Linked DNA regions of Saccharomyces cerevisiae S288C. Each later gene encodes a partner of the first gene's protein in a complex. Each region holds a gene or a part of one and is shown on either strand. Other genes may lie near its edges. A codon is read from its position in the direction of its gene.

Region 1 (4,730 bases):
GATGAATGATATCTAATTGTTTCTCGAAGAATAACTTATATAACAGTAGTATACCGATGTAAGGAAAACTTCTTGGCTATGTAAAACTTTTTGAAAGTTAGAGGAAGAAAGTATTATACATTCAAGAGAGATGAGCTTTCCAATTTGAAAAATTTTTCAAGAAAAAGAAAAAATTTGAAAAAAAAAAAAGAAAAATATAATAAACATATCATTTTGTACGCAAAAAGTTAAGGAATTATGAAAAGGGACTAAGAGCGTGAATTTTACAGAACGGAGGACAGTAAGATTATATTCTATTTAGCTATCTAGAAACCAATTGAGCTATTTGAGAGAGATACATATTTTGAATTTAATTTGAAAATGCCTATCACCATAAAAAGCCGCTCTAAAGGGTTAAGGGACACTGAAATTGACTTATCCAAAAAGCCTACTTTAGATGATGTTTTGAAAAAAATCTCTGCTAATAACCACAATATCAGCAAGTACAGGATAAGATTAACCTACAAAAAGGAATCTAAACAAGTTCCGGTTATTTCAGAATCGTTTTTTCAAGAAGAGGCTGATGACTCAATGGAATTCTTCATCAAAGATTTGGGTCCCCAAATTTCATGGAGATTAGTCTTCTTTTGTGAGTATTTGGGTCCAGTCTTGGTTCACTCCCTTTTTTATTATCTATCTACCATTCCCACAGTTGTTGATAGATGGCACAGTGCTAGCTCCGACTATAATCCATTTTTAAACAGGGTTGCATATTTTTTAATTTTAGGACATTATGGAAAGAGATTATTTGAAACCTTATTTGTTCACCAATTCTCTTTAGCTACTATGCCAATTTTCAACCTGTTCAAAAATTGTTTCCATTACTGGGTTCTAAGCGGTCTCATTTCATTCGGTTACTTTGGCTACGGCTTCCCCTTTGGGAATGCTAAGTTATTCAAATACTATTCATATTTGAAATTGGATGACTTGAGTACATTAATTGGTCTTTTCGTGCTTTCAGAACTATGGAACTTTTATTGCCACATTAAATTGCGCCTATGGGGTGACTATCAAAAGAAGCATGGTAACGCTAAGATCCGTGTCCCATTGAATCAAGGTATTTTCAATCTTTTTGTTGCTCCCAACTATACTTTTGAAGTTTGGTCTTGGATTTGGTTTACTTTTGTGTTCAAGTTCAATTTATTTGCCGTTTTATTTTTGACTGTTTCAACAGCTCAAATGTACGCATGGGCTCAAAAGAAAAACAAAAAGTATCATACCAGAAGAGCATTCTTGATTCCATTTGTATTTTGATCCTCCTGTTTGCAACATGCCCAAATGCAAGGTAAAGAGATATTAGCTTTCACGAAGTGGCGTAGTAGCACTATTGTTTAAGTATCGTCTGCACCTGTGCCTTTTGGTATTTGGCACTATCTTAAGCGCATGCCACCAATTATGCTAAACCGTTTCACTTTAAGAAATTTTTATTTAAATCTTTCACTATGCAAATATGTAAGTACTTTTAAAATTCTCTTTCCAAAGAAAAGGAAATTATTTCAGACTAGCAGTAATTTATCACTTTGCTATTCAGATATTAGGAGAACATCCTTATCGAGCAAATCTGCCTCGCTTGAGCTGACAACGTCATCTTCGTCAGTACTCTCGCCATCCAGTAAATATGTGTTTTCATTCAATTCATTGAAAAACGGGGTTTTCAGTAAATCTTCTGCTGAACTACGCTTTTGAGGATCCATTTCGAAGCATTGTTCCAAAACCTGGAAGCACCAATAATGATCGGACCAAATTTCTTCTTGATACTTTTTCAACTCATAGGCATCAACAGCATCCATATTTGTCTTGGGGTCAGGTAATTGAGGTTCAATGGACATCCTGTCATGTAATTCTTGTTGTAGAAATCCGAATGTTTCAAAAGCAACACTGTACTCAGGGAACGTACCTATGGTACATTCTTTATTAAGCAAATCATAAACAAATTCCTTCAATCCATTAGAATATCCGTTTGGTTTATCCCAAATGAGCCCACTAGCTTCGAAACCCAATCCATGCAACGCTGCGCATTTTCTTAATTCTTTCCAACCAAAAATAGTACATAACTCTAGCAAAGAATCCGCATCATCTAAACTTTGGAACATTGGAAATCTTCTGCCCAAAAGACTTAAAAGAATAACACCTACGGACCATATATCAATCTTTGTGCTTTGAGCCCCACACTTCATTAACACTTCTGGTGCCCGAAATCCACGAGTCCCTGCTCTATTAGCCCTTTTAATTCTACGCGTTTCATTTTTAGGATAACCCTTTGTCAGATCCACCCCATTTACATTGTTTAAGTGGACGACCTTGCCATTTTGTATGGTGACCATAGGAGGTGTTTGGTTATGTGAGTTAGGAGAATATTGATTACGCATAATGCATGGACAAAATTGTTCGTGATTCCTCATTGAATATCCACCATCATGGTTTGTATTTGCATAATTGTCGTAATCGTTTTGACTAGATATCATGCTTTTATAATCCATTTGAGCCTCGGCTAGACCAAAATCAACAAGCACTCCACGCCCCAATTCCAAATTAAATAAAAAATTTGTCGGTTTGATGTCTCTATGAATAATTCCCTTCGAATGAACAAACTTCAATGCTCTTAGTAGCTCCCAAATGTACTTCTTGATTCCCTTGATTGGTAGATCCCTGTAGAAAGTTCGGAACTCCTCGTGGGGATAGTACGGTAAAACAGCAATGACTTGATCTCGCACCCTTTTTGCATCACATAGAGGGGCTACTCTCGAAGATCCCGTCATTATGTACAGCAGGTTGAGCTCATTATAAATTCTTTGCGGTGACGAGGTAACGTATATTTTCTTCAAAGCAACATAGTTCGAACCATAATTCCAAAAATGTGATGCAAATTTTTTTGTTATTTTCCCAGTGATATCTTTGGCTTTATACACTGACGAAAATGTTCCCTCACCGATCTTGTCTATGAGTTTATATTCATTTTCTATACCCGGTAGATCATGATAGAGCTGTATCATCTCTTCTTTGATTTCTGGAGGTATATCATCGATATTCTTCGTTTTGCTTGTCATTATGATTGTTCTACTTCGAAACTGCCTCTTTCCTAAGAAAATTAGATAATAGCACAATTGTTATTGAAAATTTAAGGTAGTCTGTTACTTCCCGTTACGCCTGCTGAGCGGTTTTTTTTGTTAATGGTTCTTGCATTGATTTTAGGCGGAAATGTGAAGTGCTCTTCTACTCACTAAATTGATGCCGTTCAAGAAGACGCCCCAGGGCAAAGAAGACATAATTTAAAAGCTGACCGGGGACAAATGTTTAAGATTTATGTAGGCCTAAGGCGTTTATCGAGCTAAACGGGAAGTAATTTTACTCTATAAAATGTCATCTACACAAGCATTGCCCCATTAGATTCTTAATTATCTTCAAAACCAGGGCTACACCTTAATTTCCCAAGCTAAAAACATGCTTATATAGAGGTTTAAAAAAAAAGCGTCGTTCGTTGATAAAGTTTACGAACGTATCAGTATGATCGCGTAGGTTTCCACATACTACTTAGACTTCCTACACTGTCATGGTCATTATGTCAACAAAGGTGAGACCAACGCGTCCTGACCTGAATTTTTCTCTCTTTAAAACAGAACGCGTTCTTCATAATCCTCTCCTCAATGAAAGAATTTGGGGGGACAATATCTTGACAGAAACTGGTAAGGCTCTTGATAGTTACCGTACTTGAAGGGACACTGTGAACTGACTAAAAAACTCCGTCATGTCCAATTTATGTGTACTTTTCTTCCAGTTTTTTTTTTTAGCACAATTTTTTGCTGAGGCATCACCGTTGACATTTGAACTGAATAAAGGTCGAAAGGAGTGCTTATATACGCTAACTCCGGAAATTGACTGTACAATCTCATATTATTTTGCAGTACAGCAAGGAGAGAGCAATGACTTTGATGTTAACTACGAAATATTTGCTCCTGATGACAAAAACAAGCCAATAATCGAGAGATCTGGTGAACGTCAAGGTGAATGGTCATTTATAGGCCAACATAAGGGAGAATATGCTATCTGCTTTTATGGTGGTAAAGCACACGACAAGATTGTTGATCTGGACTTCAAGTACAATTGTGAACGCCAAGATGATATTCGAAATGAAAGACGCAAGGCGAGAAAGGCGCAGAGAAACCTGAGAGACTCTAAAACCGATCCCTTGCAAGACAGTGTGGAAAATTCTATAGACACCATAGAAAGGCAGCTCCACGTTTTGGAACGTAATATACAGTACTATAAAAGCAGAAACACCAGAAATCATCACACCGTTTGTTCAACAGAGCATAGAATTGTAATGTTTTCTATTTACGGCATATTATTAATCATCGGAATGAGCTGCGCTCAAATTGCCATACTGGAGTTCATTTTCAGAGAATCGAGAAAGCATAATGTGTAAATAGTTGTGTATTGTTCCTGCATTTTCTATCAACTTGAGAATATATGTTCTTCATATTTAATAGGGGAAAGGAATGACATACCGTATCCAAAATAGCCCTTTTGCTCATGTTAAATCTTATGTAATGACAGAGCTGAAGTGACGTTTCTATTAAAGCACATGTCACGATTTAAAAAATCCTATTTCAAAATGTAGCATTGTTTTCTTCGAGAAATTGACAAAATAATCTTTGTAAGAGTAATTTTTTCTTAGCCATTGGCATATGCAC
Region 2 (6,342 bases), 140 kb from region 1:
TTGCGTTTGTTATTTCAGTCGAATAGTACTCCTTTATACTCTCTGCCGCTGACATCTTTGTCCTTTACTGTTTAGGACTTATAGCGACTGTTATTTTTTAGTACACCAAACAAGGAAAAAAGAACAATACAACGTAAATATGAGTAGTCGCAAAAGCACCGCTTCTAGCTTACTGTTACGGCAATATAGAGAACTTACTGATCCTAAGAAAGCTATTCCCTCATTTCATATAGAACTAGAGGATGATTCAAATATTTTCACTTGGAACATAGGTGTTATGGTGCTAAATGAGGATTCCATTTATCATGGAGGGTTTTTCAAAGCTCAAATGAGATTTCCGGAAGACTTTCCCTTTTCTCCACCACAGTTTCGATTTACGCCGGCTATCTACCATCCAAACGTTTACAGGGATGGCAGGCTTTGTATTTCTATTTTACATCAAAGTGGGGATCCTATGACCGACGAACCTGATGCTGAAACGTGGTCCCCCGTGCAGACCGTGGAAAGTGTGTTGATCTCTATAGTATCTCTATTAGAGGACCCCAATATCAACTCGCCAGCAAATGTCGATGCCGCTGTTGATTACAGAAAGAACCCTGAACAATACAAGCAAAGAGTCAAAATGGAAGTGGAAAGATCGAAACAAGATATCCCTAAAGGTTTCATAATGCCCACTTCTGAATCGGCGTACATATCTCAAAGTAAACTAGATGAACCAGAATCGAATAAGGATATGGCGGATAATTTTTGGTATGATAGTGATTTGGACGACGATGAGAACGGGTCCGTCATTTTACAAGACGACGACTACGACGATGGAAACAACCATATCCCCTTTGAAGATGATGACGTTTACAACTATAACGACAACGACGACGATGACGAAAGAATCGAATTCGAAGATGATGACGATGATGACGACGATAGTATAGATAACGACAGCGTCATGGATAGGAAACAACCCCACAAGGCTGAAGATGAAAGTGAAGATGTGGAGGATGTAGAAAGAGTTTCAAAGAAAATATAAAAAAGAACAGTAAGAAAGAAGACAAAATTTAACAAAACATATTCAGCTCAAACGCAAAACATGAATCAATTTATACATACGCGATACGTTGTCGATAAAGCACTTTACATTTTTCCCTATGATAATCTGAGATTGACAGGGGAAGAAGAAAATAACTAAGTGTCGAAGAAAAATTTAGAAAAATTAATTCATCATCCCATTTTACTTCTCGCAGTACACCGTACGAAAGAAGAAGGTAAAGAATTGAGAAAAAAAGTGTATATCATTACATTACTTTACACCACCTTATAACCACAAACGTGTATATTAAGAAAGTTTTTTAAAAAGAAAGAAATAAGAAAACCAAATCCGTCCCACTAATAGTTTCTAAGTTACTGTACTTTTTTTTTTTGAATATATATCACCATACATATGTATATAAATATATATTTGTGTGTGTGTGTTTATATCTATATCTCTTTGCATCTAATTCCTCATTACCTTTTTTATTTTTATTTTCTTATCGGTTCTTGGCTAACGCCTAAGTTTCTTTTAATATTTTACCCGCAGTAAGTAAATGGTTTTTTTTTTGCAAACGCGTCTTAGGTCGATCTTTGCGAAAAAGAAAAAAATAAAGAAATAACGATAATAATAACGGTAATGGCTCAGGCCAAGAAAAACAAAAATCAAGTTGCATAGTCTATACTCAGCCAGGTGTAGATTCCTTTAGATCTGAATTCGCTTGCAGGGCTAGTTATCTTCAGAATTCAAGGTTTGAATCTGAAAGGCATTTGGAATTCTGCTTTTGGTTCATATTTAGAAAAGAAAGAAGAAAATGGTTTCTCCAACGAAAATGATAATAAGGTCTCCGTTAAAGGAAACAGATACCAACTTGAAACATAATAATGGAATTGCCGCATCAACAACAGCAGCGGGCCACTTGAATGTGTTTTCTAACGACAATAATTGCAACAATAACAATACCACTGAATCCTTTCCGAAGAAAAGATCTCTTGAGCGCCTCGAGCTCCAACAGCAGCAGCATTTGCATGAAAAGAAAAGGGCCAGAATAGAAAGGGCCAGGTCTATTGAAGGCGCTGTCCAAGTCAGCAAAGGTACGGGTCTGAAAAATGTCGAGCCAAGGGTTACGCCTAAGGAATTGCTGGAATGGCAAACAAATTGGAAAAAGATAATGAAAAGAGATTCTCGCATTTACTTTGACATTACTGATGATGTAGAGATGAATACATATAATAAGTCCAAGATGGACAAACGCAGAGATTTATTGAAAAGAGGGTTTCTTACATTGGGTGCGCAAATAACTCAATTTTTTGACACTACTGTCACAATAGTTATCACAAGAAGGTCTGTTGAGAACATATATTTACTAAAAGATACCGACATTTTATCGAGAGCTAAAAAAAACTACATGAAAGTTTGGAGTTACGAAAAGGCTGCCAGATTTCTGAAAAATCTTGATGTTGATTTGGATCATTTGAGCAAGACTAAATCTGCTTCTTTAGCTGCGCCCACATTGTCCAATCTTCTACACAATGAAAAATTATATGGACCAACGGATAGAGACCCCAGAACTAAAAGAGACGATATTCACTACTTTAAATATCCTCATGTATACCTTTATGACCTATGGCAAACTTGGGCCCCCATAATAACTTTGGAATGGAAACCTCAAGAACTAACAAACTTAGACGAACTACCTTACCCAATATTGAAAATAGGTTCATTCGGAAGATGCCCTTTTATAGGGGATAGGAATTATGACGAAAGTTCTTATAAGCGCGTAGTAAAGAGATACTCGAGAGACAAAGCAAACAAAAAATATGCACTGCAACTTCGTGCTCTATTTCAATATCATGCCGACACCTTACTGAATACGTCATCAGTTAATGATCAAACGAAAAACCTAATATTCATACCTCACACATGCAACGATTCTACCAAGAGCTTCAAAAAATGGATGCAAGAAAAGGCAAAAAATTTTGAGAAGACCGAGTTAAAGAAGACGGATGATAGCGCAGTTCAAGATGTTCGTAATGAACATGCTGACCAAACCGATGAAAAAAATAGTATATTATTAAATGAAACTGAAACCAAAGAGCCTCCGTTGAAAGAAGAAAAAGAAAATAAACAATCTATAGCAGAAGAATCGAATAAGTACCCACAGCGAAAAGAGCTGGCTGCCACACCAAAACTAAACCATCCAGTATTAGCTACTTTTGCAAGGCAAGAAACTGAAGAAGTGCCGGATGATTTGTGCACTTTGAAAACAAAGTCACGTCAGGCATTTGAAATCAAAGCAAGTGGTGCACATCAATCTAATGATGTGGCAACCTCTTTTGGCAATGGTTTGGGCCCAACAAGAGCAAGCGTCATGAGTAAGAACATGAAGTCATTAAGTAGACTAATGGTTGATAGAAAGCTGGGAGTAAAGCAGACAAATGGAAATAACAAAAATTATACAGCCACTATAGCAACTACTGCTGAAACATCAAAGGAAAATAGACACAGATTAGATTTTAATGCTTTGAAAAAAGACGAAGCCCCTTCGAAAGAGACGGGCAAAGATAGTGCTGTACACTTAGAAACTAATAGAAAGCCCCAGAATTTCCCTAAGGTAGCTACCAAATCAGTCTCCGCAGACTCCAAAGTTCATAATGACATCAAGATAACAACCACAGAATCTCCAACAGCATCGAAGAAATCAACTTCCACAAACGTCACCTTACATTTTAACGCACAGACAGCACAGACAGCACAGCCGGTGAAGAAAGAAACGGTAAAAAATTCCGGATACTGTGAAAATTGTCGTGTAAAATACGAATCTTTAGAACAACACATAGTTTCTGAGAAGCATTTGTCTTTCGCTGAAAACGATTTAAATTTTGAGGCTATTGACTCGTTAATTGAAAATCTCAGATTTCAAATATAGGGACACGACGTAAAGTGCAGTAGCTTTTAGTGATAAAATCAAAATAGTATTGTTCCGTTTCCATTGCTGCTCGGAACAAAAAAGCTATCAACGGCAATGTTATTGAATCACTTTCTCATTCACCCTTGTTACTTTCTTGCTATTGACTTAACTCTTATTTACTCGTCCATATATTATCAATTGCATATATATACATATACATATATATATTATCATCTAGATTAATTACCGTTCATATCATAACTCATTCTGAACAAATAATGATCGAGTACCCACCGCGGTTAATGTCCCAGTTTTCATTTTTACCCGATATCCTGCAGAGACCGAGAGGCATGAAAAAAAAAAAGCTAGTTCTCAACTGCATTAATTGCAGCTCGTATTCATGGTTCAACATAAAAGAACTTACGCTACAGCATTCCATTTGAATAACTCAGAGTATTAGTAAAAGAAATGTGTGAAGAGAATGTTCATGTTAGTGAAGATGTTGCTGGCAGTCACGGTTCTTTTACGAATGCCAGACCTAGGTTAATTGTACTAATAAGGCATGGGGAAAGCGAATCAAATAAAAACAAGGAGGTCAATGGTTATATTCCTAACCATCTGATTTCTTTAACGAAAACAGGTCAAATCCAAGCTAGACAAGCTGGTATTGACTTATTACGTGTTTTAAACGTAGACGATCACAACTTGGTGGAGGATTTGGCTAAGAAGTATATTAAAGATGAAAGTAGCAGGAGAACTTTACCGCTGAAGGACTATACCAGGCTGAGTAGAGAAAAAGACACAAACATAGTTTTTTATACATCACCCTATAGAAGAGCAAGGGAAACATTGAAAGGTATTTTGGACGTCATCGATGAATATAATGAATTAAACAGTGGTGTTCGTATATGTGAAGATATGAGATATGATCCACATGGTAAACAGAAACATGCATTTTGGCCGAGAGGACTTAATAATACTGGTGGTGTTTACGAAAATAATGAAGATAATATTTGTGAAGGGAAGCCTGGAAAATGTTATCTGCAATATCGGGTTAAGGATGAGCCAAGAATAAGGGAACAAGATTTTGGTAATTTCCAAAAAATCAATAGCATGCAGGACGTTATGAAGAAGAGATCTACGTATGGTCATTTCTTCTTCAGATTCCCTCATGGAGAAAGTGCGGCAGATGTATATGACAGAGTCGCCAGTTTCCAAGAGACTTTATTCAGGCACTTCCATGATAGGCAAGAGAGAAGACCCAGAGATGTTGTTGTCCTAGTTACACATGGTATTTATTCCAGAGTATTCCTGATGAAATGGTTTAGATGGACATACGAAGAGTTTGAATCGTTTACCAATGTTCCTAACGGGAGCGTAATGGTGATGGAACTGGACGAATCCATCAATAGATACGTCCTGAGGACCGTGCTACCCAAATGGACTGATTGTGAGGGAGACCTAACTACATAGTGTTTAAAGATTACGGATATTTAACTTACTTAGAATAATGCCATTTTTTTGAGTTATAATAATCCTACGTTAGTGTGAGCGGGATTTAAACTGTGAGGACCTTAATACATTCAGACACTTCTGCGGTATCACCCTACTTATTCCCTTCGAGATTATATCTAGGAACCCATCAGGTTGGTGGAAGATTACCCGTTCTAAGACTTTTCAGCTTCCTCTATTGATGTTACACCTGGACACCCCTTTTCTGGCATCCAGTTTTTAATCTTCAGTGGCATGTGAGATTCTCCGAAATTAATTAAAGCAATCACACAATTCTCTCGGATACCACCTCGGTTGAAACTGACAGGTGGTTTGTTACGCATGCTAATGCAAAGGAGCCTATATACCTTTGGCTCGGCTGCTGTAACAGGGAATATAAAGGGCAGCATAATTTAGGAGTTTAGTGAACTTGCAACATTTACTATTTTCCCTTCTTACGTAAATATTTTTCTTTTTAATTCTAAATCAATCTTTTTCAATTTTTTGTTTGTATTCTTTTCTTGCTTAAATCTATAACTACAAAAAACACATACATAAACTAAAAATGGCTAGAACTTTCTTTGTCGGTGGTAACTTTAAATTAAACGGTTCCAAACAATCCATTAAGGAAATTGTTGAAAGATTGAACACTGCTTCTATCCCAGAAAATGTCGAAGTTGTTATCTGTCCTCCAGCTACCTACTTAGACTACTCTGTCTCTTTGGTTAAGAAGCCACAAGTCACTGTCGGTGCTCAAAACGCCTACTTGAAGGCTTCTGGTGCTTTCACCGGTGAAAACTCCGTTGACCAAATCAAGGATGTTGGTGCTAAGTGGGTTATTTTGGGTCACTCCGAAAGAAGATCTTACTTCCACGAAGATGACAAGTTCATTGCTGACAAGACCAAGTTCGCT

What was found.
Region 2: the proteins of CDC7 (region 1) and DBF4 are in contact, whole or in part, in a cryo-EM structure (PDB 7PT6), measured with the Saccharomyces cerevisiae proteins. Residues at the interface, in NP_010267.3 of Saccharomyces cerevisiae: Glu32 (codon at 2,993), Thr43 (codon at 2,960), Phe44 (codon at 2,957), Lys56 (codon at 2,921), Val80 (codon at 2,849), Thr81 (codon at 2,846), Ser82 (codon at 2,843), Ser83 (codon at 2,840), Pro84 (codon at 2,837), Arg86 (codon at 2,831), Ile87 (codon at 2,828), Tyr88 (codon at 2,825), Leu91 (codon at 2,816), Asn92 (codon at 2,813), Tyr95 (codon at 2,804), Leu106 (codon at 2,771), Asp108 (codon at 2,765), Ala109 (codon at 2,762), Lys110 (codon at 2,759), Arg111 (codon at 2,756), Arg113 (codon at 2,750), Asp114 (codon at 2,747), Thr130 (codon at 2,699), Phe131 (codon at 2,696), Tyr132 (codon at 2,693), Arg133 (codon at 2,690), Asp134 (codon at 2,687), Leu135 (codon at 2,684), Pro136 (codon at 2,681), Lys138 (codon at 2,675); in NP_010337.3 of Saccharomyces cerevisiae: Asn240 (codon at 2,559), Tyr244 (codon at 2,571), Arg249 (codon at 2,586), Pro251 (codon at 2,592), Arg255 (codon at 2,604), Asp256 (codon at 2,607), Asp257 (codon at 2,610), Ile258 (codon at 2,613), His259 (codon at 2,616), Tyr260 (codon at 2,619), Phe261 (codon at 2,622), Pro264 (codon at 2,631), His265 (codon at 2,634), Val266 (codon at 2,637), Tyr267 (codon at 2,640), Leu268 (codon at 2,643), Tyr269 (codon at 2,646), Asp270 (codon at 2,649), Leu271 (codon at 2,652), Trp272 (codon at 2,655), Gln273 (codon at 2,658), Thr274 (codon at 2,661), Trp275 (codon at 2,664), Ala276 (codon at 2,667), Pro277 (codon at 2,670), Ile278 (codon at 2,673), Ile279 (codon at 2,676), Thr280 (codon at 2,679), Leu281 (codon at 2,682), Trp283 (codon at 2,688).

What each region holds. Positions count from the first base shown.
Region 1 is NC_001136.10:422,565-427,294, reverse strand, and holds CDC7 (serine/threonine protein kinase CDC7), read right to left. Parts: upstream 3,087-4,730; coding exon 1,563-3,086; downstream 1-1,562. Other genes in the region: trans-2-enoyl-CoA reductase (NADPH) TSC13, read left to right, coding at 361-1,293; ERP3 (Erp3p), read left to right, coding at 3,785-4,462. UniProt on the Saccharomyces cerevisiae protein: Serine/threonine-protein kinase. Needed for the initiation of DNA synthesis during mitosis as well as for synaptonemal complex formation and commitment to recombination during meiosis. Required for HTA1-HTB1 locus transcription repression.
Region 2 is NC_001136.10:556,125-562,466, reverse strand, and holds DBF4 (protein serine/threonine kinase activating protein DBF4), read left to right. Parts: upstream 1-1,841; coding exon 1,842-3,956; downstream 3,957-6,342. Other genes in the region: SCF E2 ubiquitin-protein ligase catalytic subunit CDC34, read left to right, coding at 140-1,027; acid phosphatase DET1, read left to right, coding at 4,407-5,411; triose-phosphate isomerase TPI1, read left to right, coding at 5,995-6,342. UniProt on the Saccharomyces cerevisiae protein: Regulatory subunit of the CDC7-DBF4 kinase, also called DBF4-dependent kinase (DDK), which is involved in cell cycle regulation of premitotic and premeiotic chromosome replication and in chromosome segregation.